Mus musculus: one gene and its partners. The protein of the gene in region 1 purifies or fractionates together with the protein of each later gene. This does not show direct contact. Links are inferred from orthologs where the notes say so. Each region holds a gene or a part of one and is shown in the gene's direction. Other genes may lie near its edges.

Region 1 (4,399 bases):
CTGCAGTTATGGATGCCGTGGGCACCATGCGGATGCTGGGAATTGAACCCAGGTCTTCTGGAAAAGCTGCCAGTGCTCTTAACCTCTGGCCAACTCTCCAGCCTCAAACAAGCATTTTTCCAAGTCTACTTTTAACTCTTTGGAGTATATACACAAGTCGGATTACTGGTTCGTTGTTTTTGAGTAGATGTCATATTGTTTTTCATAGCAGCTGTGTGGTTTTGATTCCTTCAGATGGTACCCAAGAGTTACAGTTTTCCACATCTGCACTAACACTTGTTTTCTACGAGGTTCCTCTTTTTAATGTATAAATATTATTCTCCTGATCTGAAATAGTATCTCCTCTTGGCTTGCATTTCCCCAATGACATTGGGCACCTTTTCATGTGTGTATTAACCATGTGCTTTCATCTTTGGAGAAATATGTTACTCACATCCTCTATTTATTTATTTACTTGTATTTTTTAAGACAAGGTACTCACATCCTCTATTTATTTATTTACTTGTATTTTTTAAGACAAGGTCTCATTATGTAGCCCTGGCTGGCCTGTATCATGCTATGTAGTCCAGGCTGGCCTAACTCAGAGATCTGCCTGCCTCTGCCTCCTGGGTGGTAGGATTAAAGGCATGTGCCACTTTGTCTGTTTTTAATTTTTTTGTGTGTTTAATTGTAGTTTCTGCCCAGATTTTAAAGGTTACTTAGGTGGATATATTAACTAGAAATCCAGCTAACAAGAATATGGAGAGATTTGGTCTGGAAAATTCTTGAAACGAGTTATTTACAAAAGCTGTAGAAAAGTCTGGAAAGTATGCCTGTAGTGGTGAATATAGTGTGGGATTAGAAATGAGAGTTCAATGTTATGAATACACTGAAAACCCCAGAATGTTTTGTTTCATCCCTGTCACTTGGTGTGATTCTGTGAAAAAAAGCCTGTGATTCTGTCATTCCTGGGATAGAAGCAGGAGGATTAGAAATTAAAACATCATCCCCATTTCACAGGAAGTTGCAGGCCAACCTGGAATACATGAAACCCTGTTGAAACAAATGAACCACCTAATAGTTGATCTTGCAGTTAATGTAGTGTCCCGAGGTATAAAATGTATCTCTGAGCGAGCCCGGTTTCTGAGTTGCTTCAGTTAGCCAAAAGGTATTGGTTGTCTGTTTGGTACCATGAATATAACAGTGAGCAAAACAAAGTCCATATCCTTGAGCTTGTTCCAGTGGTGGGAGATGGTTGTGGACCACAGATGCGTAGGAGTGATCCACAGCATGGCGGTAAAGCAAAACCAGGGTTATGAGTGTGCAGTACTGAACAGCCTCGCCTCCAAAGAGACCTTTGGCATCTGGGACAAAATCATATCTGTTGGAAGGAGCAGCAGATGCAAAGCTTCTGTCCACGGGGATTGGGGGGGGGGTACTAGGGTGTTTGAGGTACAGACAAAAGGCCAGAGTAGAAGGTGGGATGGCAGTCACTGAAAGCCTTTCAACAGTAGTGAGGCTTTTGAATTTAGTAAGCTCTAAACTTTGGGTCATTAGTATAGATACAACTTAGAAGCCATTTAAGTGTTAGGGAAATGTCAAAAATAATTAATCCATGTGTACCATTAATCTCAGCAGTTATGAGCAGAGGCCGGTTAATCTCTGAGCACAAGGCCAGCCTGGTCTACAGAGTGAGTTCTAGGACAGTCAGAGCTACACAGAGAAACCCTTTCTCAAAAACATAAATATCTACATACACACACAATTACATTCCTTCTGATAGGAGTTATATACAAAATCATCTCACAAACATTTGTTCTAGTGACAACATGTTCTCTGGTTGCTTTGTTTTCCTACAGAGAAACAGCTTGCATGTCTTAAATGCTTTATGCCAGCCACATCTACCTATGTCCACTGCCTGCTTATGAAAGACGCTTCCTTCTCTTCTCTTGTTCTGCCTTTGGTGACCCCATATAGCACTGGTGGATATTTTTTTTTTTTAATTGTAAGAATGATAGCTAAAGCCGGGTGTGTTGGCGCACGCCTTTAATCCCAGCACTCGGGAGGCAGTGAGTTCCAGGACAGCGAGGGCTATACAGAGAAACCCTGTCTCGAATCCCCCCCACCCTAACTAACTAAATAATATAACTAAATAATTAGTTTATTTTAGCTGCTGAAATAGCTAAAGATTTTTCATTTAAAATTAGAATAGAATTTGCAAAAGTAACCCTAAAGATCATTCTTGATTTACACACCCCCACCCCTCCACCCCCATCCCCATTGAGTACATGAGATTTTAAAAATCTTAACTTTTTTTGGTTTGGTTGTTGGCTAATATATTTTAGCCATAGCTTTTGTACACCCATTTGAACAAGTTAATATGATTCATAATGTTTTACTCTAAGAAAAGTTAATGTCTGGTTCTTTGGAGCTGAATTTTCAGAAAATTTTAAGAATTATAACTTACTCAAATAAGCTTTCTTCTTTGAGACACTTTAATAGCAGATAGAAATAACATCTAGAAGGCTTAATAACTTTGAAACGAGCTTTATTATCCATGAGTTCTATACCCATGCATGTCTTAATGAATATATGAAATCCAAAGCTACAAGAGTGATGGGAAGATAATCTTAGAGCTACTGTTTATGGATCCAGTGTGAGTTGTTGGTGTGGAGGAGTCTCAGTCACTGGGTCCTCACCGAGTAGGCATGCTGCACTCTTCCCTCCCGTGCAGCTATACTAATACCTTTCTTTTTGTCTAAAGCTTGCAAATACAGAAGAGTACATAGATGGGGCGCTGTCTGGACATCTGGGCGAAGTTCTAATAAGGTAACAGACTTATTTGTGTGTATGAAAGGAGTTCTAACTAACCTCAGAAATACCTGCTGAAATATATTAGTCCTATTAAACATTAAACAGGAAGTACTCTACAACTAGATCTCAGAAGCTTGTGAAATCACTAACATGTTGGAAGATTTCAGTTTATATTTGAGATTTTCCTACTCTTGATTTACATCTCCTGGCTCCAGCTGTAACCTGTATCAGTGTCCTGGGTTACAGGGATTTAAATTTGAATTTTAGTTGAGTCTGGCTGCTAAGGATTTCTGTTGTACTCACTGTCTGGTATCAGCAACTACCTACATTCTAAGTCGTAGAGATGAAGTGTGATGATGGTAAAAATGTGTGGTGTGTCTTTACTACACCTATACAGGACTAACAGGACAAGTGGCAAGCTGTGAGTTCAGTGTCCAGTCTGATGATGGGGCACTGAGGATTGATCTTGTGTGGGTTCTGAGTGCAGCTCACAATGGACTGTTTTCTGTTACAGGTGTAATAATGTCCTCTACATCAGAGGCGTTGAAGAAGAAGAGGAAGATGGGGAAATGAGAGAATAGCATCTTGGATTTTTTTTTTTATATATATATGTATTTCTATACAATAAAGATTTGGGGTTCTTTTTTTTCAACTTGACTTGTGGACTATTTAATGCAAAGCGCAAATGTTGAAACAATGGATGGATAATTCTTAGAACTAAAGTTTTAAAAGCCTCTCAGTTTTATTCAAGGGACTCTTTTTTTTTTTTTGTAATCCCACCGCTGGTTTAACTGAGACCTCATAAAAGCAGCAGTGTTGTTTAAGGTTTCCAAACCACTTGTAACATCCATAAAGTTAAACATTTTCTTAGTATTAATATATATTGTATTAATAAATCATTATTTCTATATTGACATAGACTAAATAATGTATATTATAGCTAAGTCAAAACATGAAAATTGAAATAATTATGGAGATAAAATACAATACAAATTGATATTTAGGCTGAAGATGTATGATTTTGTTCACTTGAAAGTTTTCTGATAAGGTTTTCAGAGCTTAATGTGAAAGAAAACCAGCCCCATGATTGTTCTGAGACCGTAGTCTATTAGTTTTTAAGCTTTAAACCTGTCCAGTTGTTTTAAGAATAATACATTTTAAAAATGTATATTCAAAGCTGTAAACTTCCTTATTGCTTTAGAAAATATTAAAATTCTCATGCTTTGAGGAAGGCCATTCTATTGTTACATCAATAAATTGACTTTGGATACATGTCTCCAACAGGGACAACCTAAAGTAAGTATTGCTTAGCTCATGGCCTGTACTAGTGAACAATAGAGTTGCAGCAGAAAATAGTTGCTGTTCCTAGTCCTGTAAACTTCCAGCTAAAGGTCTGCTGCGGCCCTGGAATTTGCTAGGGCAGTATTGCATCACTGAAAGCCAACATCCACATAAAACATTCGCTAAGAAAGTATCCTCGTGATCCCGTTCAACTAAAAAAGTACTCTTCGTCCTGTGATTTTGATCTTGTATCACTGACTAAAAGGAGCTCTTGTTTGTCTGCAGATTGAGGTTTCGAACGGTAGATAAGTCGTCTTCCCAACTG
Region 2 (3,769 bases), about 53 Mb from region 1:
TGCTATACTAGGTGTCTTTTAAAATAATTTTGACAAATTGCTGTAATAGCAGATTTTCAATGTCTTTTAAAGCATATTTATGTTCATATTCACTTAGTACTTAGAATGAGACGAACCATTATAGTGAAAAGCCAGCTTTGTTCAAAGCTCATCAGAATATTTATTTATAAAATGCCACAAAAGTAAAATGTGATAGTTGTACAAGGATAACCTTTATTATGAAACTGTCTTACAAGTATGCATGAAGTACTGAAATGGAATTTTAATTGCTTTGCTGTAACATAGAGCCCAGTGAGCACTGCTTTGAGTTTATACAAGTAGGCTTTTTTCTTTCTACTACACTCCTTTTTCTTTCTTAGCTTGTGATTATGCTGCTCAAATGCTTCTTTGACTTTAGTAAATACAAACAGTATGCAGCCCTCGCCTGCTAATGACATCAGAATCAAACCATCATCCTTTATCAATTCTTTTCAAAGCTGATGACACTGGAGGCCAAGTTTAGATTAACATCATATGGAAGTTATATCAGATCTATGAAACCCTGTTTAATTTGTATTGTTATATATACATGAAGTAAAAATAAATTATTAAGCGTTTGCTGTAGTTTGATTCCATTTTTAAATGATAAATTAGTTTATTTTGTTTTCAGAGGTGCTGATATCTTGCTGGGCATCATAGTATATGTCTATAACCTCAACTAAGGCTATCCTAGGCTACATAAGACTGTGTCTCTAAAAACAAAGCAAAAAGCCTACCATTACTGGTTTTTGATTCATTAAGAAGGCACCTGGACTGAGCAGTTCCTCCCTTCCTCCCACACCTCCCCCTGCTTCTGTCATGAGTCAAGAGACCTAGACTAGCAAACTGGTGACACCTTACTTCCTGGGTCTCCTGCCAAGCAAGGAGGAGGAAGAAGAGGAGGAGGAGGAGGAGGAGGAAGAGGAGGAGGAGGAGGAAAAGAAGTTGTTGTTTCTTTTTGTCAGCTCAAGTGGGTCTGTGTGGCAGAGTTAGGCATTTGGGTTTGATTGCTTAGGCCTACTGTAACCATATAAAATCATGTGTGCTGATATTTCTAAAGAGAATCAGCGCGCTCACTCCATTAATGTTTGTTGTTAATGCAGGCTTAACTGTATTTGAAACTGGTCAGAAGAAAACAGAAAAGAGGAAAAAGTTCAAAGAAAATGATGCATCTAATATTGATGGTTTCTTGGGACCATGGGCAAAATATGTGGATGAAAAAGATGTGGCCAAACCTTCAGAAGTAAGCTTTGATGTGTTCCTTTCAGTTCCAATGTGTGTGTCTCTACCAGTCATGTCTGTGTTGATAAATGTGAGATTTCCCCCTGAGAACCCATGACTCATCAGAATTTCTCAGCCTTATCTGACTGAGAAAATATAATAAAATTTCTTAGCTTTTCTTTGCAATATCCGAATTTGCATTTTTTCTGTCGTATTGTCCCCATACTCTTTTGACTTATGTAGAATATGGAACCATTTTTTAATATAATTACCATTACTATGGCTCAGAAGTTCCCCTGCCTGCTGTCCTTCCCATCCCTGACCTCGTTACTAGGGTCAGCCTTGCTCTCACACTGGCATCCGTAGTGACTTTACTTACTAATTTACTTTCAAAATCTTAAGTTTTATCTATATTATTTTTAAAAAGATCCTTGTGAAGTGTATAAAATAGAACTACAGAATTCTTGCTCACATCTGTAACCCACTGTCTCTGAGGCCTAGGGACTATCCCAAGTTATGAAGCACAGCTGAAGCACAGTGACAGACAAGCTCAAGATAATTTTGTCCTTAGGAAGGTGGTGGTCCAGCTGTTCCTACATCTGCTTCACTTTGTAGCATGCATATGCTGCTGTCTTCTTCCTGTACACATCATGCCTGGGCTTGTTTATTATAAATGCAGATTTGCTGTTCCCATCTTACCTCCCTAGATCTCCCAAAACAAGTTGGTCTCACATCCATGATTGCTGCTTACTCCGTTGTCTTGACAATGTAAAAGCAACTCAACAAAAACAGGACTGTGCTCTAAACTCAGTGTCCTCTGATACCAGACTTTCTGATGGCTTGTCGTTTGATTAGCACAGCATGATGAACTTCTGTCTAGCCATTGGGGCGGGGGGAGGAGACAGACTCAGTTTAAAAATATTACTGAGCATGTGTTTAATATCATCTTGTGATCTGTGTAAGAGGTGATCCGTCTCTGGCTGTGGCAGAGTTGCCATTGCCATCCTAGCAGACATGTTTGTGAGCCTCCTTACAGAGGGTATACGCCAGCAGTGGTGGGCACGATGAGATTTCAGGCTCTCATTAAAGTTCACTGCTTTGTTTCGGTAGGAAGAACAAAAGGAATTGGATGAAATCACAGCAAAGAGGCAGAAAAAAGGCAAACAGGAAGAAGAGAAACCTGGGGAGGAGAAGACAATCTTACATGGTAGTATGATTTTCAAACATCTGTATTTTCATAAAAATCTGCTGTGTTTTGTTTTCTCACGCCATATAATACCAATTGCTTGCACTGTTGGCTGCTGTTATGTCAGCATTATATTAAGAGCAATTTGCATCCTAACGAAATCACCATAGACCTTTTATACTACTAAAAGGGAAAATGTAGCATGATTAATGATAAGCACAGAAATTTTTGTTTATGAATCGGTGGGTTTTTAAAAATGAGTAAAGAAGAAACTTGAGTGAGCCATAAGTCCTTTCCTAAAGTAGATTCCTCATGTGGGCCGGTTCCTTAATTTCATTTAATCCAAGCCAAATACTCACGGGGGCATTATCTAGTACATTCACTTTTAAAGAAAACCCTGTTTCCATATGAATAGATTAGAGACTACTAGACTTTGAATGGGCAATAATGCACAGGCTCATGGAGAATCGGTACCGTTAGGAAATTACGTGCTGGTGACCAGAGCTTAGACAGTGAATGGGTCAGTGCTGGCATGGTGCTTTGTCACATCAAGTCCTGAGGCTTCAGAAGACCACATGGTTTCACAAACCTCAATTTTATTTCCAAGGCATCTGGTTAGTGCTGTAGTGCTTAAAACTGTAAGCTCCACAAGCGGAAACTGGCAAAGACGGAAATGAATGTCCATGGCAGTGAAATCAACGTTCTTATTGATTTTTACATACAAACTAAATCGTGGTTGAATATTTGATACTGTAGGAGGTAGAGAGCATTTTAATGTTTTTTAGACTTGATCAATATTTTGATTTTACAGTCATCACTTCTGAGAACACTACTTCACATGAATGCATAGTACAAAATGGCAGACAAATATTTAGGGCCATTTCAGAAGTTGTTGGAAAACCTGTCCTAATTCTAAGCCACAACTCATTTAGTAATTTTTAATGAAGCTCAAACCAACCACTCAAATAGCAGCTTTTTAAACCAAACAAACACAATCCAAAAGTATACTGCCTAGCTTTGTACATGCTAAGAAATTCAGTAGAAAAGTTGAAAGTCTTTGTTTTCCAAAATGGACCACTATGTGTCCAAAACAACACAAAGCTTTGCACTGCACGAGCACCGCAGCAGTGTGCAGCATATGATAGTCTTAGATCTGCACGGAGGCTTCTGTAAGCAGGGTTGACATTACAGGAGTGCCATCGTGCCAGCCATCTAACATTTTCCGGTAAAGCTTGCCATGAAGAAGGGGAAAGGAAGCCGACAGGTAGAAAGTGGGAAGGTGGAGAAAGGAGCGCTCACACTTGCCTTTGTGTCTCCTTTTTTGGCCTGTTTCACCTCAAATTC
Region 3 (3,769 bases), on another chromosome or scaffold:
CACACCCTCCAAGGTCATACCTCCTCACCGTTCACAAACAATTCTGTCAACTTGGGACTGTATATGCACACATACGGGCCCATGGGTCCTGCGGACACCCCCTCCAAGGTCATACCTCCTCACCGTTCACAAACAATTCTGTCAACTTGGGACTGTATATGCACACATACGGGCCCATGGGTCCTGCGGACACCCCCTCCAAGGTCATACCTCCTCACCGTTCACAAACAATTCTGTCAACTTGGGACTGTATATTCACACATACGGGCCCATGGGTCCTGCGGACACACCCTCCAAGGTCATACCTCCTCACCGTTCACAAACAATTCTGTCAACTTGGGACTGTATATTCACACATACGGGCCCATGGGTCCCATTCACATTTAAACAAACATGCTACTAAATGATTTCTTTTTTATTTTAGTATTTTTTTTAAAAAATGAGTGATTTGTCATCGTTGTGTTACAAATCCCTTTCTCCACAATAATGGGGAGAATCAGCCTCAAATTAACATCTTCACATATAAAACCTAGTTTCCCAAAGCGGATTACTGGCAGTAAATATGAGGAACTGTAAAGGAGTTTGGAGACCTCTGTCTGAAATTCCTGGCTATTGATTTTGAATGCATCATCCCTACATGTGAATATGAAAGTGGCTAAGGATTTGAAAAATACATTTTCTTATTTATTTATTTATCCATTCATTCATTCTGCATCCCACTCACTGCCCCCTTCCTGTTCAACCCCTCCCACAATCCTTCTCCCTTTCCCCCTCCACTTCTCCTCTGAGGGGGTGGGGGCCCACTCGGTCTCCTCCCATTCTAGTACTTCAAGTCTCTGGGAGGCTAGGCATTTCCTCTGTCACTGAAGCCAGATGAGGCAGCCCAGCTAGAACATACCCCATATATAGGCTACAGCATTTGGGATAGCTCCCACTCTAGTTGTTTGAGATCCACATGAAGAACAACTGCACATCTGCTAGATGTGTGCGTGCATGGAGGCATAGCTCCAGCCTGTGTGTTTTCTTTTCTTGGTGCTTCAGTCTCTAAAGGGTCCAGGTTAGTTGATTCTTTTAGTCTTCCTATGGAGTTTCTTCCTCTTGTTTTCAATAAGAGTCCCTAAACTCCAACTACTCTTTGGCTGTGGGTGTTTGCAATTGTCTGAGTCAGCTGCTGAGTGGGACTTCTCAGAGGACAGCCTTGCAAGGCTCCTGTTTGCAAACATAACAGTATCATTAATAGTGTCAGGAATTGGTGCTTCTTCATAGGATGGGTCTCAAGTTGGCCAGTTATTGGTTGACCGTTCCCACAGTCTCTGCTCCATCCTAATCCCGGTATTTCTTGTAGACAGGATAAGTTTTGGGTCGAAAGTTTTATGGTTAGGTTGGTAGCCCTATCACTCCACCAGGATTCCTGCCTGGCCATAGGAGGCAACCTCCCCAGTTCATATCTACAGTGGTATGAGTCTCATTGATTCTTGGCACGTCCCCTATCCTGGGTCTCTGTCTCTTCCTAGTGATGCCTTCCCCAACCTCCACCCAGTCAGTTGCAGATTTCCATTCATTCTCATGGCCACCCACCCATCCTCCCTACCCCTACTCCCCTCCTGATCCAGCAGAGTATTTGTATAAGTGGTTATCACATATTTACGATAAAGTGACTCCTCAAAGAACTTTTAACATGGCTTTGGGATAAATTTTAGTTCTGTGTAATTGAGAAATATTGCTACTGTTGTCTGCTGTAAACATTTTTATAAAGCTTATTTTTGCCTTTTTAGCATTTACAATGGAGTGATATAATTTTACTTAAAAGTTACTAAAAAGATTGTAATTTTATATTTTTGTCTTGTTTTCTTCTTAGAAATGGAAACACTTTCAGTTTTTAGAAGTTATGAACCTGGTGAACCAAACTGCAGAATTTATGTAAAGAATTTAGCTAGACATGTTCAGGAAAAGGTAAGGTGAAATGTGCATTCAATTTTGTTACTTACTTTTCCCACTGGTTTTCTAATTTGTCTTTTTTTTTTATAAAAAATTTCTAATTTTAGGACCTTAAATTTATATTTGGAAGATACGTTGACTTTTCTTCAGAAACACAGCGGATCATGTAAGTGGTAGTTCTAATTTCATATTATGTTTTATCTGTTAGAAATTCATCACGTTTTGTTATGTTGACTTTTCTCTTTAGTGCTAAAATTTGATGAAACATCTGTTGTTTTACATAAAAGTCCTTTTAGAAGTTTAGAATAGGGATAGACAAATTTCTATATATATGAGCAAATGAAATTCTTAATATTTTAAATTAGATCATACTTGTTAGTTCAGTGTTTTTCCTACTATGAAAGCTGCTATAAAGTGTATATTAAAAAATGTTTATGGTTATACTTCTAAATCCTTATTTATAAACGCAAACTTTCTACTGTTTTGTGCCTAAGCTTTTGACACTAATGTACTTTTAATGTATTTAGTACTTTTTCACATTGCCTGAGAACTACTTGGAGAGCTTGGTTAAATGGTTTCCTTGGCCCATCTCCAAAGATAGGTTTTCTAGTTGTGTCAGGCCTCATGGATTTGCATTTCTAAAAATGACTTTAGCCATTTAATTTTATCGTAATTTTAAGTAAAACCAATCTTACCTGCCTTACACATTTTTGGATGTAATTTTGTTCGCATGTACAACTACGTACAAGGTGTATACTATAAAGGTTATATTTTCAGTATTACCTTGCCCATAGTTAGAATTTAAGTTGAAGGAAAAATTCCATTTGAAAAAAAGGTTATAGAGCCCCAAATGATTGTTATCTATAAGACCAGTAACTATATTTAAAAAAGAAGAAATTTTCACTTTATTTTTACTTGTGTGTGTGTGTAGAACACACATGTACATAGGTGGATCATTATTCTGTGTGATATACAATGCTCCTTTTTTTTTTTTACATTTGTTTGCTTGTTTGTTTGAGACAAAGGTTTGTTTATTAGCCTAGTAGTTGGCAGGTTGGTGAGTCAGGCTGGCCAGAAAGTCAGAGGCCATGTGTTTCTGCCTCTCTAGTTTTGTAATTACGAGCATATATCAATCACGCCCAGCTTTTTGTTTTGTTTTGTTTTGTTTTCTTTCTTTTTTTCAATGCGTGTTTAAAGGATTGGTCATGGTCCTTTTACAATCAAAGCAAGCTCAACTTTTCAGGTTGAGCTGTTACTTAACCTCATTAATTGATAGTGTTTGTTTTATATTTTTTAGTTCATAATATTAGATCATATTTTCATGTTATTTTTATATATAGCTCTTAAGTTTTCTCTCTGAAATGTTTATATATGAATACACTTACTGTAGAATGAATAAATGAGATATTAGGAGGATTAAACTAGGAATAACATGTGACTTAGACCCTATGCTTGGAAGAGTCATTCTGTTTCTAGGTATCATTAGTAAAATGTTAGCTTTGAATATCTGTTAAGTCCCCTATATACTCTAAAAGTTTGTAAATGTTTATAATAATATAAAGCCAATAATGTAAATCAATTACTTGGTTTCTCTTAGCCTTCTATTTATGTATTTATTTTTAAATCTGTTGAGTGTATGGTATTGAACTAATGAAAGGTATGTATAAAAAGATAAATTAAATTTGCTGGGTGGTGGTGGCACATGCCTTGAATCCCAGCAATGGAGAGGCAGAGACAGGTCTGATCTGTGAAGTGAGATTGAGGACAGCCAGAGCTACACAGAGAAACCCTGTCTTGAAAAACAAAAACAAAAGGCCTTAAGGAAACAAAC
Region 4 (4,262 bases), on another chromosome or scaffold:
GGACCCAGGTTCATATTCCCGGCATCCATAGGGCAGTTCACAACTGTCTATAACTTCAGCTCCAGGGGATCTGACACCCTCACACAGACATGCATGTAGGTAAAACACCAATGCAGATAAAAATAGAATAAATTTAAAGTAGAAAGACCAACAACTATGTGGGATTAAAGCAAACCCGAGGATGGAAAATGTAAAAGGAGGCAGTGGGTACCCTGGTTAATCTCAACCATCCTACCTCGCACAATGTTGTATTCTGTTTCAGCGGGTGCTGACGGTACTGTTTGAACCCAAGAGAAAGGAAGTGGGTCTACGACTAGAAGAAAAATTCGGTGGACTGATGTATGGAGAACCTGAAGGAAGACATCAACAATAACAAGTAGCCCAAGTGGGCAGTTCCTGAAGACCAGGGAAACGAGGAAGCAAGGTCCCATGAGGAATGTTGAATAAATAGTAAGATACTTGAGGGGGAAGTCCTTCCAGGGAAACCTCTGAAATGTTAGTTTATTATTTATTGGGAGTAGGGGGACAGTGGGTACCCTGGGGTTGTTCAGGCATTCATCCTGCCGGGGCCCCAAGGTTACTCCTGTGACTGGAGTAGTTCTACTGTGAAAACTGTACTACCTTCATTGTGAAGTACTAAGCTACTCCAGTGAACTAATCTTTAGTTCATTATCTTCCATTCATCCACGGAGGCAATAATCTCTCTCACAATTTTTATAAAAAACACTTTTCAAAAAAAAAGGGGGGGGGCTGGCGAGATGGCTCAGTGGGTAAGAGCACCCGACTGCTCTTCCAAAGGTCCAGAGTTCAAATCCCAGCAACCACATGGTGGCTCACAACCATCCGTAATGAGATCTGACTCCCTGGTGTGTCTGAAGACAGCTACAGTGTACTTACATATAATGAATAAATAAATCTTTAAAAAAAAAAAAAAAAGCAAATTATTTGTTACCGTATAAACTTTCTCGCTGAAAGCTGCCAGCTTTGACTGAAATCAACTGCAATACCTACTAGAAGATTCCAGAAAGACTGCTGCGGAAGAACCTTGTAAGTAGAAAGACAACACTTGGAAAATTCTTTCTCCTACAAACACCGAACCTTTGGCAAACCACATTACCCAGAAGACCTTACGGCCTGGCCGGCCCTCGCGCCGTGCATTCTGGGATTGGTAGTTTTCAGGGCCTATTCGTCAGCTCGCGTGGTGCAGGCCCAGGAACTCCCTTTCCCGGCTTGCCGCGCGGCCTGGGTGCTCCTCCGTGATCTGGAAACGCGAAAGATGGCGACTGTTCGGCGACGTTGAGGCCGCGTTAGGCGGTTCAGGCGCGGGGTGGTGAGTCTTGGCGGTGGAGGCGGCTCCCACGAGTTTGGAGAGTGGGTGAGGAGCGGGAAGATAGCCGTAGCCTCAGCCCGGAAGGGGAAGAACGCCTCAGGGAAGGGGCACGAGCCAGGGCAGCTCCGGCGGGCAAGAGTGAAAGGGGCGCGGGCCCCGGGAGCAGTGTTGGCTGCCCAGGGCACAGGCCACTTCCAGGACTGTATTATGAGCCTAGACTTTGGCCCGTGGACATCGCCCTTGTTATACGTCAGTCTGACTTAATTCTTGTTTCCTTACTTCGGCCAGACAGGAACTCTAATGTGCTCCCAGAACCCACCCCATGCCTTCCGGCTCGGGGTTGCCAACTAGTGCTTCGGCCGGAGATTAGTTCTAACCCTAACCCACAGTTGCACATCTTCAAATTCTACTCGTACTTTAAAACGAGCCACTTCCTCTGTGGGCCCTTCCATATCCTCTTTACGAATGGAAAGGACCGGCAACTTTGGATTCTTCGCCTGAACGTTCTTATCTTGGCGTGTCTTGTGCCATCTGCTGCTTCCTGTGGACAGAATTTCATTTTGTAGTTTCCACGGGGCCTACAGCTGAATGTTGCATATATAGTAGCGCTTGATGAACAATTAAATGAAAACAATTGGCCTTTGCCCTACAGAGAACTGGGAAGCACGGCCAGGGTCTTTTGGAGCCCGGGTCTTTTGGAGCTTAAGCTGGCCTTGAATTCAGTATGCAGCCTAGTCCATTTTGTCTTTGGACGCTCAGTACTGCCTTCACCTTCCTAGTGCTATGATTACACTTGTAGACTATTAAGCATTTTCTGTAATTAAAAAAAAAAAACAAAAACCAAGTCTACATATTTCCTTGTAAGTCACCAGAGTAATTCTTTTCAAATGTAATTTTTGGTCGTATTATACTCTGCTTAAAGTTCTCCAAATGTTCTCGTTGAGATGACGTTGAGAGTCACATGCCTTTGCACGGGCCCCTAACAGTGTATTTTGCTTCTATTGACAGTTCTCATTCTGTCCCAGACAAACGCCATTCAAGCTTAGTGTCTTCTTTATTTTCTTTCTTTCTTTTTCTTATTTAAAATCTACTTATTTAGTGGATTGAGTACATTATAGCTCTCTTCAGACACACCAGAAGAGAGCATCATATCCCATCACAGATGATTGTGAGCCACCATGTGGTTGCTGGGATTTGAACTCAGGACCTCTGGAACAGCAGTCAGTGCTCTTAACCGCTGAGCCATCTCCCCAGCCCCCTGTCTTTATTTTGTTTTCCTTTTCCTTTTTTTCCCTACAGCTGTAGTGAAAGTCACCAGTAACTTCCACTTCCCCCCCAAATCTCTAGTTCCTACTCTTGGTTTTAAGTTGAAATCCAAGCACCTTTGCCCTGGTTTCTAACAATTTCATGATTTGACTTCTCCTCATTCTTGTGTTTTTTGGGGTGGTGGTGGTATGTATGGGTGTTTTTCATGTGTTTATGTCTGTGCACCACTTGAGTGCCTAGTGTTTGAGGAGGTCACAGCAAGGCGTCAGGATCCCCTGGGATTGCAGGTGCTTGCTTGCCAGCCATCATGTGGATGCTGGGGACCAAACTCAGGTCCTCTGGTAGATCAGCCAGTGCTCTTAACCACTGACCAATCTCTCCAAGCCCCTGACCTTGTCTTTTTTGGGGGGGGAAGATGGGGGGGGGTCGAGACAGGGTTTCTCTGTGCAGCCCTGGCTGTCCTGGAACTCACGCTGTAGACCAGGCTGGGCTCGAACTCAGAAATTCGCCTGCCTCTGCCTCCCAAGTGCGGGTCTGTACCCCTTAGCCACAGTCTCTGGAGAGCGACGTGCAGAGCTGGTTGTTCCCTCAGTGCTTGCCAGCTCCATCTGTAAGCTCTCTTTCCTGATCATCCCATGGCTGTTTCTTCCACTGTCAGCTCTCAGTGTAAATGTCAACCTAAGACGTCTTCCCCAAGAGCCTCTTCTTCATCTCTCCATATCATGTTACTCCGTTTCCTTCCCTGTTTGGAGCTCACTCTGAGTAGCTGAAACAGTGTTACACTGGACTCATGCTTCATGAAGTCAGCGAGTTTGTGTTAGTTACGGTGTCGTCTCCAGGACCCAGAACAGCTCCTGGCACTAGACGGTGTTCAGCACTTGGGATTAAAAGCAGATCAAGGCAGATCTCTGTGAATTTGAGGCCACCCTGGTCTACATAGTGAGTTCCAGGCCAGCCAAGTGCCACCATAGAAAGGTGGTGTTCCAAAAACAAAAAAAACAACCAAACAACCCAAGGATGGGCTGTTTTCCTAGGGCTGTAGGAGAGACATACTGTGAAATGCATGATAGACTGACTTAGACCAGTCTCTCACTTTTTTTAGTTAATTGTGAGATAAAACTAGGTCATCTTAGCCTTCAGAAAACGCTATTTGTTCATTTTGTTTTTTCATTCTTAACATTTTCCCTTCTTTTTTTTTTTTTAAAGATTTATTTATTTATTATATGTAAGTACACTGTAGCTGTCTTCAGACACACCAGAAGAGGGAGTCAGATCACATTACGGATGGTTGTGAGCCACCATGTGGTTGCTGGGATTTGAACTCAGGACCTTTGGAAGAGCAGTCAGTGCTCTTATCCGCTGAGCCATCTCTCCAGCCCAACATTTTCCCTTCTTAGGCAATATGGCAGTCACTGGCACTGGATAGAAGGATTGCCTCAAAATGCTTAGGACACCAATACTCTAGCCCAGTCACCTGCGAATAAAATAATTACTAGTTTTTGTAGTTCAAGAACAGTTGCCAGGGGGCTGGTGAGATGGCTCAGCGGGTAAGAGCAGTGACTGCTCTTCCGAAGGTCCTGAGTTCAAATCCCAGCAACCACATGTGGCTCACAACCACCTGTAGTGAGATCTGATGCTCTCTTCTGGTGTGTCAGAAGACAGCTAC
Region 5 (3,769 bases), on another chromosome or scaffold:
TCTTCCCAGGTGATTCTAGGTTATGTCAAGGTGACAGTTGGATCTGACCATCACCGCATCCCTTACCGTAGCCCCAAAAAAAGATGACGTAGATTTGGTTTTATTATCTTTACAATTTCAGGGATCTCCAGACACACACCATAGTTTGTACTTGGAGGTGGTAGGGGAAACAGATACCTGAGTTGGCTTTGCTTGTCTGGCTGTGTGCTTGTTTTCTGTGCCATAATTCCAGTTCTTTTCTATTTCAGACCAAAGAAAAATATGGAAAAGAATGCAAAGTAAGTATGTCTATTAACTTTCATTTTCTTTATCCCCTTTCTTCTTTATTCTATCAAACTGGCATTGTGCTTGCTGAGTTTTGAGGCCCTCTATTCAAAGTCCATGCTCACGGCTTTCATGTACGGTTGATCTAGTCAGTAGCTGACAAGGAGTGTGGAGGGTAAGAGAGTGACCATTCTAGTGTAAGCTCATAAACAGGCGTCTGTGTGCACCGCACACCGGGAGTTTGTGTGCCGGGTGTTTCAGCTGAGGAGGAGGACTGTGGCTGCCACAGTATTCTGGAAGATGGTTCCTGCTTCACTTGCCTTGATCCCTACCAGAAAGACAAAGAGTCAGATTTCTAGTGAGGTTTACATTAAAAAATGTAAGGTGGGAAGCTTTGACTCTGAATGTTTATTTCTATGCTGTTCTAGCTTTTTAACGTCTAGAAAAAAGAAAGGAAATGGGATAGGGTCAACTGGCTTGTGGATTAGCTGTTTGCTAAGGCCAGCTCTCCATACTTACTCAATCTGAATTGAGTCCAGGCTAGAACATTTAAGATTCTGTGTCTCTTGCTGTGTGTTCAGATCTGTGCCAGGCCATTCACAGTGTTTCGCTGGTGCCCTGGGGTCCGCATGCGCTTCAAGAAGACTGAAGTGTGCCAAACCTGCAGTAAATTGAAGAATGTTTGTCAGACCTGCCTGTTAGACCTTGAATATGGTATGTTTGCCACACTCACTAGATCTTCAAGTGTATAGGGGCCCAACAGGCCAGCCCCTTGCCTCCCACTTCTCTGGTTTCCATCCCACACTAGAATGTCTACTGTGGCCTGCTTTTCCCAGGAAACATATCCTAACTAGGCTGCTCTAAAGACCTCCTGAGCAGTAGTAGGAACGTCAGGAGCAATTGGGAAGAAATCAGAACTGGCCTACCCGCCATCTCTGTGCCAGCTGGAATAAAAGGCATTGCTCCTTTGATACTGTTGGTTTGTTTGTTTTGCCTGGATCCCTTTGATCTAAAACTTTCCACAGTCCCGAACAAGTTCCTGGGCTAAGTATGCTACGAGCTGTTAGGACCAGGTATTGCTTCTCTTTCAAAACACTTGCTTCTAGGATTGTTTTTAATTTTATGTAAATGAGGTTTTCGTTTCAGAAAAAGTTACCTACCAATGGGGGTAAGGGGGGCGTTGTGGCTGCATATTGTTTTATATTATTCATATGTTTGTTTGGAGCATTTAGGCCTGGAGTACAGTGTTACTAAACATAACTGGCCATCCATAGGAACTTCAAGACCAATATAACAATAAACCATTGTGTTCTATATGTATATATTAAGTATATTGTGTTAAAAGCTAGATACTCTGTTAGCTTACTTTGGCCCTAAAGTATATTCTTTGAAACAATTTTCTAAACAAATTCTATGTCAGCACAGGAATTTGGACAGTTTCTTAGGGTACTCTCTATAGCAGTTATTAGCCCAATGGTGCTAAATAGATTTAAAACATTGTAAACTATCACCAAGTAGGTTGATTATCTGATTTTAAAGATTTATTTTTGTCTTTCATTGTGTGTATGTGGGGGTGGGGTACACATGTGAATATAGGGCAGAGTCTAGAAAAAAGGCTGTCAGCTCCCCTGGAGCTGGAACGACAGTGAGCTACCCTGCATGGCTGTGGGGAACTGCACTCTGGTCCTCTGCAGACCAGCATGTGCTCTTAATCCCTGGGGCATCGCTTAAAGCTCCCACCAACCAGGGCTGAGAAGGGAAGGGTGATGTAGTTTATATACACATCGAATATGAATATGTTACCAAGTTTTTAATTCCCCAATTTCTTTGTACCAGGCCTACCCATCCAGGTTCGTGATGCAGGATTATCATTTAAAGATGACATGCCTAAGTCAGATGTCAATAAAGAATATTACACCCAAAATATGGAAAGAGAAGTATGTTTTTTATTTTCATTAAAATCTAATTATATCACTTCCTCTCTCCAGCCCCTCCTGTGTCTTCTCCCTTCAACCTCTCCCATGCCCCCCTAGTAAAAGATGGCCTCTTTTTCTTTGATTATTAGTGTGCTGTATGTGTGCGCATGCGCGCACGCACATACACACACGCACATACACGCACAATTGCTTGCTCACCACCTGCTGGGTTCATTTAATGCGGCTTATCTGTATATGATTTCAAAGCTGACCACTATGTACTGACTAACCAGTTAGGGTGCTCATCTCCAGAGAGACTAATTCTCAACAGTCATTAGTTGCCTGTACTTCTTTGACTAAGGTTGGGACTCGTAACATTTCCCCTTTTTGAATTAGTGTATCTATAGTTCGTGTCTTTGTTTTGACAGCTATATTGTTGAGATATCATGGGTGTAGCTTCCCTGTCATTTCTGTGAAACAATCTCACACCAGACATCCTGGTCCTCTGGCTACCGTCTTAATGCCATTGTTTATCTGGGGAAATAGATTGTGTACACGTGCTGCTGGGAATTGAATCCAGGCCTTGTGATGTAGTTTTGTATTTGATAAAAATTCTAATGAATTGACAGCCTATAAAGTTGTCTTCTTCGTGCAGATTTCTAACTCTGATGGAACACGACCAGTTGGGATGCTAGGAAAAGCAACATCCACCAGTGACATGCTCCTCAAGTTGGCCCGGACCACACCCTACTACAAAAGGAATCGGCCCCACATTTGTTCCTTTTGGGTGAAAGGAGAGTGTAAGAGAGGAGAGGAGTGCCCATACAGGTAAGAGCTGAGCCTCACTTTCAGACTCCTGAGTAGTGGGGGAGACTCTAGCTTAAATTCATACTTTAACACTACAGCTCTTATGGCCTGTTTGCATGTAGAGCATCTCTTGTCATAAAACTTACATTATAAGAACCTGGCTAAATTATACTTTTTACTTAAAACTAAGCCTTGAGGAAATAAATTGCTATGTTATATAATGTACATACTGACTGTTTCTAAGTTAATAAGTTCTACGTTACTATGGTAATTTGGTGTCCATTTAAATGGTGTGAACAGCAAAGTATAGCTGAGGTCAAAACAAGACCACCTGAAGGCTACTTGCGTTTCAACCAAGACTGCCAAGCATCAGAGTAAGGGGTTTAGCTAATGATTTGTTAACTGTAAAACCACCCCCTAAATATATGCCCTTCTTCTGAGGTGAAGTCCGTAGCTTTAGTCAGATTCTATTAGAGCAGTTTAAGTGGGTTACTTAGAGCATCAGGAAGACTCGGTGGTTAAGAGCACTGACTGCTCTTCCGAAGGTCCTGAGTTCAAATTCCAGCAACCACATGGTGGCTCACAACCATCCGAAATGAGATCTGATGCCCTCTTCTGTAGTAAGTACACTGTACCCAGAAGAGGTACAGCTACAGTGTACTTACGTATAATAAATAAATCTTTTTTTTTTAAAGTTATATATGATATAGTACTCCCTTGGTATTTGCTGTTGTTTAGTAACAGTATTTTTGTACAGATATTTTGTAATTTGAAAGGCATTT
Region 6 (4,354 bases), on another chromosome or scaffold:
TGTGTAGTATGCCAACATCATGGATTCAACTCTTAGGAAAAAGAAAGATAAAGGAAGTAATTTCTGTGCCTCTGAGGTTCATGGTCTGGACAGGGAAGCCCATCTAGAAGGGTTTTGCAACAGTTAGGATGACCAGAAGACCCAGGGTAGATACTATGGAGATGGTAAAGGAGTGGATGAGACATTTGGAGACACAAGTATTTGACAGTAGTTTGATAGAAAGAGGGTGAAGGCAAAGCAAAAAGGAATCCTCAGATTTGTCATCTGTGGATTGGGTGGGTGAAAGATGTGGGCAACTATGAGGAAGCTTGCGATCTTTAGTTCCTCTTCCTTCATTTGGATAGTGGACGTTTGCTTAGTGCTTTGTTAATTTCTAAGCAAACATGTCTTAGTTAGGGTTTCCATTGCTGTAAGGAGACACCATGGCCAAGGACATTTATTGGGGTTCTTTTACAGGTTCTGAGACTCAGTCCATCATCATCAATGAGAAAAGTAATAAAGATATGCTTACATTTGGAAGCATGACTAAAGCTTTGTTCTAAGAGCTCTTTCAAAAAACAGTATTTAGTACGTGCCAGATTATGTTTCTCCTACCAGAGACAGAAGGGAACAAATCAGAATAGCTTTCTGTCCTCATGGAAAGTGTGTGTGGGGGTGGTGGTGGGGGGTGGACAATAAACATTTTAGGTAGTTGTATCATGAAGAACCTGACCAGGTATGGTGGCACACACATGTCATCTCAGTATCTGAAAAGTTGAGCCAGGAGGATTTCCAATTTGAGGCCAGCCTGAGCGGCATAGGGAGACTCTGATTTAGAAAATAAACAGACCAACTAACTAAGCCAATCAAACCAAATAATCAAACTCGGGGATAGTGGTGGGAATAATGGGAAAGGCCAGGAAGCAGTCAGGATGGAAACCACTCAAGATTTCAAGAAAAGCCTCTTTGACAGGGTGACACATGAGTGGGTCTAGAGGAAGGGAAAGTGGTGTGCTAGTTGCCCACCCCATAACGGAGGAAGGGCACACAAAAGATCCGTTGGACCCGAGACGTCTATTAGCCTAGGGTTTCCGAGAGAGCGATCAAGCAGAGCCTAGGAGTTGGCGTGCAGTCCAGGTTTCCACTTAAATATCAGGAGACTTCCGTCACGCGACAGGGTACGGATCGCGAAGACTTCGGCGTGGCTACAGCCGAGCTTGACCCAAGGAGCCGACTCCAAGCCCAGGCGACGGCGACCGATTCGCGAGCTGCGTCACAAAGCGCGTCCTGGGCGCTCGGGTCTGGAGCCCCGCCGCGCGGCCAGGCACTCAGAGCCGCGGGAGGCCGGCAGCGGGCGGCGCCCACCAAGGGCACGCGGCGCCCTCTGCAGGCCGCAGGCGGCAACACACCGGTAGCCTCATCTTCCCTCGCTCTTCCCGCCTCTTTCTCAGGCTACATTTTTTTTTTTTTTCTGCTCCCTCCTAGAGTGACAGCCTCCGACTTCCGTTCTTCCCCTCCGCTTCCAGGCGTGTCCGTGTCTTCTCCGGGAGGCTGCCAATAAAGTTTTTCTCCTTCTCGCTCCCAGGAGCCCCGCCTCAAGTCTAAATATCGCGAGATCTGGAGGCGCGGCTACCATGGCGGCGGCGGCGTTTGAAGTCCCGGCGGCCTTGACAACCTCCGAGTCCACTATGGCTGCGGAGCGTGCGGCCGCGCCGGTGCAGGCTGTGGAGCCGACTCCGGCATCCCCGTGGACCCAGCGGACCGCACACGACATCGGCGGGCCGCGCACACGTACCGGGGACGTGGTGCTGGCGGAGCCCGCGGACTTCGAGTCGCTGCTGCTGTCGCGACCGGTGCTGGAGGGTCTGCGGGCGGCCGGCTTCGAGAGACCCTCTCCGGTGCAGCTCAAGGCCATCCCGTTGGGGCGCTGCGGGCTCGGTGAGGACCGGGGCCGGCCGGCGGTGGGGGGAAGGAGGGGACGGCGTGGCCCCCGGAGAGCTCCGGCTCCGCGCCATCGCGGGGCTAAGCCAGGCTCTAAGGCGCGCAGTTGAATTTGAGGGTAGGACTTTCTTCCAGCATGGAGTCCAAGTTGGAGAAGGTGAGCGGCAGAGATTCGGGGCGCAAAGGGCTGGGGAGGTAGCTCGGTGGTTAAGAGATTGGGGCATCAAGCACACCTCCTGCGCGTTTGAGAGTCAACCAAAAATACAGGTGGCAACTAGGTCCTCATGGCAGAGAACCTCTTCATTCTCCTTTCTCGTATTTGGTATCTGGTGGCATCAGTAAATCTAGGTAATAATATGTAATATATATAATTTTTTTCTTCCTCAGATTTAATTGTCCAAGCTAAGTCGGGCACTGGAAAAACTTGTGTATTCTCCACCATTGCTCTGGACTCTCTGATTCTTGAAAACTATAGTACTCAGGTGAGTCTAACTCAGGATCCGGAAGGGGGTGTGTAGCACGTGACTCTATTGAGAGTCGTGACAAACTAGTAACTCTTCCAGATGGTGAGTTTGAAGAGGCCGGACCAAAGCGTATGCAAGTTAGGGAAGTAAACTAGATGGTCACGTCGGTGAGTTGTGGCCAAGGCTACGTCCAGTATTTTAAAGTTGGAATTTTCTGTTATAAGTACATCTCGACCATTTGTCAGTTGGAATCGTACAATTAAAAATTCATTTACTTTCTGACTAGAGTGGGATTAGACATAGAAGGTAGAAGTTCTGGATTAGTAAGTACTGTGCTATGGCAGAAATTTCAGGTGGTTCTTAAAGCCTTGTGTATGTGTTGTATTGATCTCTCATTTTCTAGGTTGCCTCGGGATATGGTTTTAAGATTGTCCTACTCAGCTTTGGGTTTGGGGGATCATTCTTTAAAAAGCTTTGTTTAGCCATTGTTACATATAAATACTATAGTAGGCACTAGGGATTAAACAGTGAATAAGATGTGATCCTGACACTGTCGTCTGGAGTGTGTAGTGATGGCTGACTTCAAAAGGGGGCTTTTGAGATGGTCGATCTTCAATGTGATTCCTTTAAACCCAGGATTCTTGTATTTGTTGTCTAGAATCTTTGAGTTCTATATCCACGAAACCGTGGGAGATAATGAATATACTTTTTAAAGTACATTGGCTAATTTATTTGAGATTTAGGATGTGTTGAGAGTTTTGGCTTTGTAATACTTGGCAACAGACAAAATCCCAAACTTGAGTAAAAATCATATTTTTAAGGTATATTATTAAAATAATTAGTGCCTGTGTATTATGTAGTATCAAAGTAATACTACATAATAATTTATAGTTGGGAAAATCAGAAAGAGAGAGAGAGAGAGAGAGAGAGAGAATGAGAATAAAGTACCCAAATCTGTGATGTGTGCCCAGAGTTAAGGGATTTTTAAAAAGTCTTATTTCCTAGTCTTTTTTTTTTTAAAACCAGTATGTTCATTTCCAGTAGTTACATTGCAGTTTGTACTGTGTGGTGCTTGGGGCCTTTGGTACCTAACCTTTGCAGTTAGCTTTGAGATATAGTCCTCTCACAAACCTTTAATCCCAGCACTTGGGAGGCAGAGACAGGCGGATCTACAGAGAGAGTTCACGAACAGCTAGAGCTACACAGAGAAACTGTCTCGAAACAACAACAGAGAGTATGTGGGTCTTTCTGCTGTTCTTCATGTATATCTTACTACTTTTGAATTTGTGTTTTCTCTTCCTAAAGCATTAGTGTGTCCCACAGCTAGCTCTGTGCTATACATTTAGGTTTCTTCTCAAATGTTACCTCCTTATGGGGCTCCTAACACGTTTGTTTGAGGCAGGCACACTTGGAATAGTCCTAGCTGGCCTGAAACCTAGACTAGTCTTCAACTGAGGCAATCGATTTCTGTTTCTAGGGTAGTAGAACCTTCTGTGTGTGCCGACACTCTCGATGTAAAAGGGCTTTCTGATTATCTCATTTAAAACCACTCCCGGGCTGGTGAGATGGCTCAGTGGGTAAGAGCAACCGACTGCTCTTCCGAAGGTCAGGAGTTCAAATCCCAGCAACCACATGGTGGCTCACAACCATCCGTAACGAGATCTGACTCCCTCTTCTGGAGTGTCTGAAGACAGCTACAGTGTACTTACATATAATAATAAATAAATATTTAAAAAAAAAAAAAAAAAAAAAAAAAAACCCACTCCCCTTGTCAGGGCTTTCTCTTTTCTCTATTTGATATATATATTAAAAAAAAAATCTTACAATTTATTACTTGCTATTACATGTATATATATGTTATGTATGTATATATTCATTATGTATGTATAAAAAAAATGACAACAAAAACCCTGTTTTTTTTGGGGGGGCGGGGGAGGGAGTTTGAGGCAGGGTTTCTGTCCTGGAACCCA
Region 7 (4,455 bases), about 13 Mb from region 1:
TCCGTGTCGGAGAGCAGAACGAATACACCTGTAATGTCAGTGTTCAAGAAAGACTCATGAAAGAGACAGAAGGGTTCGTAGGGCTTGCTGGCCAGTCAGTATAACTTAAAAGTAAGCCCCAGGTGGGACCCTACTGCCAAGCCCAATGACCAGCGTTTTATGCTGGAGACCTACATAGTGGAAGATGAGAACCAACTACTCAAGTTTCCCTCTGGCCTTACTGGCATACTCACACCCCAAAACACGTGTGCACTCGTGCAAGAAGGAGAAAAGAGGGGTACAGATAAAGAACCCCACTGGATAATATAGGTAGACATGATGCCCAAATCTCTACAAGATACTGTAAAGTTCTCGTTAGGGAAGAAGGCTGAGACAGGCCTTAAAGCCTGCCCGTACCCTACCCGTGGCAGAGAGGGCGGCAGAGACTGTTCCTGCTATACACCCCACGTTCGCAGACTGCACCTCTCTCAGTTGGGAACGGGCAGAGGGGTCGGAGAAGAAACTAAGCGAGAACCAGACCCAGTGGGCACTCTGAGTGATAGCTGGGCCAGTCCTGGGCCACCAGCGGACGCGGGATCCAGGACAAACGTAGGCTCCTAAGGGAGTAAAAAGGATCGGGTGTGCGGAGCAGAGTCCGGGATGGAAACTTACTGATGGAGAAGCCGCCCGGTTCTTCCTGGGCCACTCTGCAGCGCTCCAGCAACAGGGCTCCGAGGGGCTGCGCGAGACACGGCCATGAGCGCCGGCCTCCGGGCCGCGCGGGTCCCCCGCGCCCCCCACGCCCCTACCTCGGCCTCGTCCGGGCGGAAGTAAAAGAGGAAGTTGACCACCAGCTTCACCAGTCGCCGCTTGGCCACTGTAGGCACAGGGCGGTGTCAGCGCGGAACTGTTCTCATTCGCCCACCCAGGAACCGCGCCGGCCCGCCCAAGTGCCCCAGCCGCAGCCCCGACTGGCTCACCGCTGCCCTTCTTGGGGCCCCGCATGCCCAGCTCGGCCGCCATCTCTGCCGGCTGTCGGGACAGCGCCTGCAACTCTTTCTCGTTGTACCGCATCCCGCCGCACGGATCCGCGCGAACCAACACGCGCCCTGCCTCTCGGCCGCCGTCCTCCCCGAAGCCGCAGCCAGCGCCACAAAAGTCTCAGAGAGCGATCTCGGAAGTCCCAACCCGGTTACTGCGCCTGCGCGTTGTTGGGCTGGTTGCGCGGCCCTAATTTATGGGTCTGCGCGGTTGAACAGAGTCAGACGGGAAGGAGATGGCCCGTCCTTAAATAACCGCCAGACATACTAAGCGTGAGGTGTAAGTTAGACTCAGAGCACTCCACGATGAGCGAAGCGCCTTCCTGGGCCGGTGAACCCTAACGCTTTCCTCTTGTCACGATAGCCGGCGCCGCTAGACTTAGGGCGGAGCGAAACTGTGCGGTCGCTGCAGTGAGCACGCGCACTCTGCGCCCCGACGCTCCTTTCTCTCCCGCCTACCGAAGACGGAAGTCCATCCGCTGGGCCTGCGCACACACGAAACGCCGACGCCTTTGCTCCCGGAAGGGATCGCTTCGTCGGTCGTGCGCACGCGCGCGGCGAAACCGCGGCCTTGGCGGAGATTAAACCCGGATAGCGAGGCCTTAGCGTTGGTGAGGAGCTGCACAGTTTGTCGGTGGCGGCTGCTCCGTCGGGGAGGCTTGAAGGTGGGAGCGAAAGCCCGGGGGCGGGACGGGGAGAGGCAGCGGCCGCCCTCTTGCCTCAGGATCGGCGCGCGCCCGCCGGGAGAGCGCGCTCTCGCGAGGCCCGTTGGGTCGCCGCGTGATTGCTGGCTTGGGTGGCGCTTCTGTGGCCTCCAGGGTGGTTCGGGGTGTCCGAGTGGCGTCTCGGCGTGTATTTTGACCTCCTTGGTTGTTTCCGTTTCCACCTTCGTTAATCGGGGCCCTGGCGACCACTGCTCCTGTCCACCGGAGCAGGTCCCTTGCTGGGATTGAAAGATAACGGTATCTGCACATAAAAGGGATTTGTCCTGGGACCAGGCCTCCTCCCAGACCATTACCTTAACATATACCACGTCTCTGTCCTTATTGATCGTTCATCGGTAATCTTACGGTAGTCCGTGAGGTTGCGCATCTCCCGTCCCTGCGTCCTGGCCTCCTGTCCCAAGTTTCACGTGTGAGCCCCTCCAGTCATCGGCACAACTTTTCATTTATTTCAGACAGGGTCTCACTGCTTAACTGGGGCTGACCTGCAACTCGGTGTGGAAACTTGGCCGATTTCCAGTTCACAGACATTGCCATGCCTCTGCCTTCTCTCGCATAGTGGGACTTACAGCATGAGCCACCACACTTGGCTGTTTTGATTGGTTTTAAGGAATCGAGGGTTTATTTTGGCTGATGGTATGAAGGTGCGGTCTGCCGTGGTGGTCGTGTTGCAGCAGTAGTCAGCAAGCAGATAAATGCCCTTCCCCGCGTTTTTAAAGATTTTGTTTTAATGTGTCTGTGTGGAGCTTTGTGTGTGAGTGGGGTACCCATAGGGTCCAGAAAGGGATATCAGAGTCCCTGGAGCCTACCGCCACCCTTTTTTCTTTTATCTGAGATAGGATCTCACTGCACAGCCCGGTTTGGTCTCTAACACTAACCTAACCATCTTCCTACCTTGGATAAAGAAATGGGATGAGAAGTGTACACCACCACGCCCTACGTTTTCTGTGTTTCCTGGGGTTGGGAACTGTTGGTGGGCGTTTGCAGAGCTTGGTGCCCCATCCACAGAGCAAGCAGTGTGCTCACCCAGGCCCCAGTTTTGTTTTGCTTTTCTAAGATTTATTTATTTATAATGAGTACACTGTAGCTGTCTTTAGATACACACCAGAAGAGGGCATCGGGTTCCATTACAGATGTTTGTGAACCACCACATCATTGCTGGGATTTGAACTCAGGACCTCTGGAGGAGCAGTCAGTGCTCTTAACCGCTGAGCCACTTCTCCAGCCTGCCCAGGCCAGTTTTGTCCTAGTGTTTGTTTTCCCTCCAAAGCTCATGAACTAACTGCATTTTTGCAGTGGGTACCCATACACATTCAACCTCAAACATGTACCCCTAGGGGACCTTATGCATGATGGACAAGTGTTCCACCCTTGAGGTGCACCCTCACATCTGTGGCTGGATACCCAGGCTCCCTGCAGAGGCCAGGTATAGAGTCCTATGTTCTTGAAAGTTGTCTTTGCCAGCGGTTGAAGTGGTTTTCCATCCTGCTGTTGCGGGTGCCCTCTTGCTCTGAGAAGCCCATGCTGCCACCCTTAGACTCTGCTCTTGCATCTGGCCAACTTCATCTCTGGGAATGTGTCTCTTAGTAGCTTTCAAAGATGTAGACAATGCTCTTTTCAGTCCTTAAGTGGCTGAGTATGAAACATCCGACAAGCTGGTTCTGCCCCACCACTTCCATATACATCTTTCAGCCATTCTCTCGGCATCTAGAGCATCTTGTATCCTTTGCATTCTAGCCTCTTTCTCTTTGACAGCCAGTGGTATCAGTGTCCTGTCTGTCCCAGACACACTCTGTGGTGACACTGAGGTAACTAGGTACCTGGCCCTCAAGGTTCTTAAGTCAAATTTGCAGGAGGCTCCAGCAATATTAACAAGGACTGCCTCCACTTGTTTCCTGAGTACTGTCTCTGAATTTACCTATAGGTTTAAACCAAGGGCTGGGGCTGACACTGAGTAGTCTAAAGTGTTCTGTCATCAGATGACACTGCCTATAGGCTTTGGTTGAGCCTCAAAGATGGGACCCTTGGTACCAAGCACTCCATATGCCATGTGTCAGGTGGAGGAGGGCGTGTCCTTTAATGCCTGCAAAGGCAGGCACACAGGCCAGCCTGATCTATGTAGAGAGTAACCATGACTACATAGAGAATCCTCTCTTAATAATAATAATAATAATGAGAAAAATTAACAACAACACCGGGGAGAGGTGGCTCAACTGTGGTCACAGCTCTTAGGAGGATCAGGAGTTCAGCGAAGGGAATGACCTGCCTGCTGGGCTACCTCGTCCTAGCATCATGTACAGTGTTCTGAGCCTTAGCTGTCCTTACTCCCCCAGGTTTCTTCCTGTCCCCTGAAGCACCCAGGCCTGCATCATGGACTTTCAGCACAGACCTGGAGGCAAGACTGGGAGTGGGGGCGTAGCCTCCTCCTCTGAGAGCAACCGGGATCGGAGAGAGCGTCTGCGCCAATTGGCCCTGGAAACCATTGACATCAACAAGGTCGGGGGGAGGGGGTGCCAGTTCCCACATCCACAGAGCTCTCACATGCCTCAGTCCTTGGTTCATGCAGTCTAACGGTACATTTATTCACTCCCAGGACCCGTATTTTATGAAGAACCACTTGGGATCCTATGAGTGCAAACTCTGCCTGACTCTGCATAACAATGAGGTATCTGCCCCTGCTTTTTCTCCACTGTTATACTCGAGTGAGGTGACAT

The links.
Region 2: the proteins of Snrpf (region 1) and Cdc40 purify together in Homo sapiens (co-immunoprecipitation; 3 studies listed by BioGRID and IntAct, counting the BioPlex papers as one, with this or other methods). This does not show direct contact. The link is inferred for Mus musculus from reciprocal best matches to the Homo sapiens genes SNRPF and CDC40.
Region 3: the proteins of Snrpf (region 1) and Rnpc3 purify together in Homo sapiens (co-immunoprecipitation; 3 studies listed by BioGRID and IntAct, counting the BioPlex papers as one, with this or other methods). This does not show direct contact. The link is inferred for Mus musculus from reciprocal best matches to the Homo sapiens genes SNRPF and RNPC3.
Region 4: the proteins of Snrpf (region 1) and Ddx23 purify together in Homo sapiens (co-immunoprecipitation; 3 studies listed by BioGRID and IntAct, counting the BioPlex papers as one, with this or other methods). This does not show direct contact. The link is inferred for Mus musculus from reciprocal best matches to the Homo sapiens genes SNRPF and DDX23.
Region 5: the proteins of Snrpf (region 1) and Rbm22 purify together in Homo sapiens (co-immunoprecipitation; 3 studies listed by BioGRID and IntAct, counting the BioPlex papers as one, with this or other methods). This does not show direct contact. The link is inferred for Mus musculus from reciprocal best matches to the Homo sapiens genes SNRPF and RBM22.
Region 6: the proteins of Snrpf (region 1) and Ddx20 purify together in Homo sapiens (affinity purification with mass spectrometry; 5 studies listed by BioGRID and IntAct, counting the BioPlex papers as one, with this or other methods). This does not show direct contact. The link is inferred for Mus musculus from reciprocal best matches to the Homo sapiens genes SNRPF and DDX20.
Region 7: the proteins of Snrpf (region 1) and Sf3a2 purify together in Homo sapiens (affinity purification with mass spectrometry; 4 studies listed by BioGRID and IntAct, counting the BioPlex papers as one, with this or other methods). This does not show direct contact. The link is inferred for Mus musculus from reciprocal best matches to the Homo sapiens genes SNRPF and SF3A2.

What each region holds. Positions count from the first base shown.
Region 1 is NC_000076.6:93,582,439-93,586,837, reverse strand, and holds the end of Snrpf (small nuclear ribonucleoprotein F), read left to right. Parts: intron 1-2,510; exon of another isoform or gene 2,511-2,743; coding exon 2,744-2,808; exon of another isoform or gene 2,809-3,307; coding exon 3,308-3,374; 3' UTR 3,375-3,809; downstream 3,810-4,399. Other genes in the region: Ccdc38 (coiled-coil domain-containing protein 38), read right to left, coding at 4,283-4,396. UniProt on the Homo sapiens protein: Plays a role in pre-mRNA splicing as a core component of the spliceosomal U1, U2, U4 and U5 small nuclear ribonucleoproteins (snRNPs), the building blocks of the spliceosome.
Region 2 is NC_000076.6:40,848,422-40,852,190, reverse strand, and holds part of Cdc40 (pre-mRNA-processing factor 17), read left to right. Parts: intron 1-1,121; coding exon 1,122-1,261; intron 1,262-2,349; coding exon 2,350-2,446; intron 2,447-3,769. UniProt on the Homo sapiens protein: Required for pre-mRNA splicing as component of the activated spliceosome. Plays an important role in embryonic brain development; this function does not require proline isomerization.
Region 3 is NC_000069.6:113,609,393-113,613,161, reverse strand, and holds part of Rnpc3 (RNA-binding region-containing protein 3), read left to right. Parts: intron 1-1,858; coding exon 1,859-1,953; intron 1,954-2,045; coding exon 2,046-2,104; intron 2,105-3,769. UniProt on the Homo sapiens protein: Participates in pre-mRNA U12-dependent splicing, performed by the minor spliceosome which removes U12-type introns. U12-type introns comprises less than 1% of all non-coding sequences. Binds to the 3'-stem-loop of m(7)G-capped U12 snRNA.
Region 4 is NC_000081.6:98,659,891-98,664,152, reverse strand, and holds the start of Ddx23 (probable ATP-dependent RNA helicase DDX23), read left to right. Parts: upstream 1-1,263; 5' UTR 1,264-1,330; exon of another isoform or gene 1,331-1,375; intron 1,376-4,262. UniProt on the Homo sapiens protein: Involved in pre-mRNA splicing and its phosphorylated form (by SRPK2) is required for spliceosomal B complex formation.
Region 5 is NC_000084.6:60,563,518-60,567,286, forward strand, and holds part of Rbm22 (pre-mRNA-splicing factor RBM22), read left to right. Parts: intron 1-248; coding exon 249-278; intron 279-845; coding exon 846-978; intron 979-2,100; coding exon 2,101-2,201; intron 2,202-2,835; coding exon 2,836-3,008; intron 3,009-3,769. UniProt on the Homo sapiens protein: Required for pre-mRNA splicing as component of the activated spliceosome. Involved in the first step of pre-mRNA splicing.
Region 6 is NC_000069.6:105,684,687-105,689,040, reverse strand, and holds the start of Ddx20 (probable ATP-dependent RNA helicase DDX20), read left to right. Parts: upstream 1-1,469; 5' UTR 1,470-1,613; coding exon 1,614-1,917; intron 1,918-2,307; coding exon 2,308-2,402; intron 2,403-4,354.
Region 7 is NC_000076.6:80,797,122-80,801,576, forward strand, and holds the start of Sf3a2 (splicing factor 3A subunit 2), read left to right. Parts: upstream 1-1,613; 5' UTR 1,614-1,684; intron 1,685-4,074; 5' UTR 4,075-4,111; coding exon 4,112-4,237; intron 4,238-4,334; coding exon 4,335-4,406; intron 4,407-4,455. Other genes in the region: Plekhj1 (pleckstrin homology domain-containing family J member 1), read right to left, coding at 652-718, 789-856, 960-1,053. UniProt on the Homo sapiens protein: Component of the 17S U2 SnRNP complex of the spliceosome, a large ribonucleoprotein complex that removes introns from transcribed pre-mRNAs.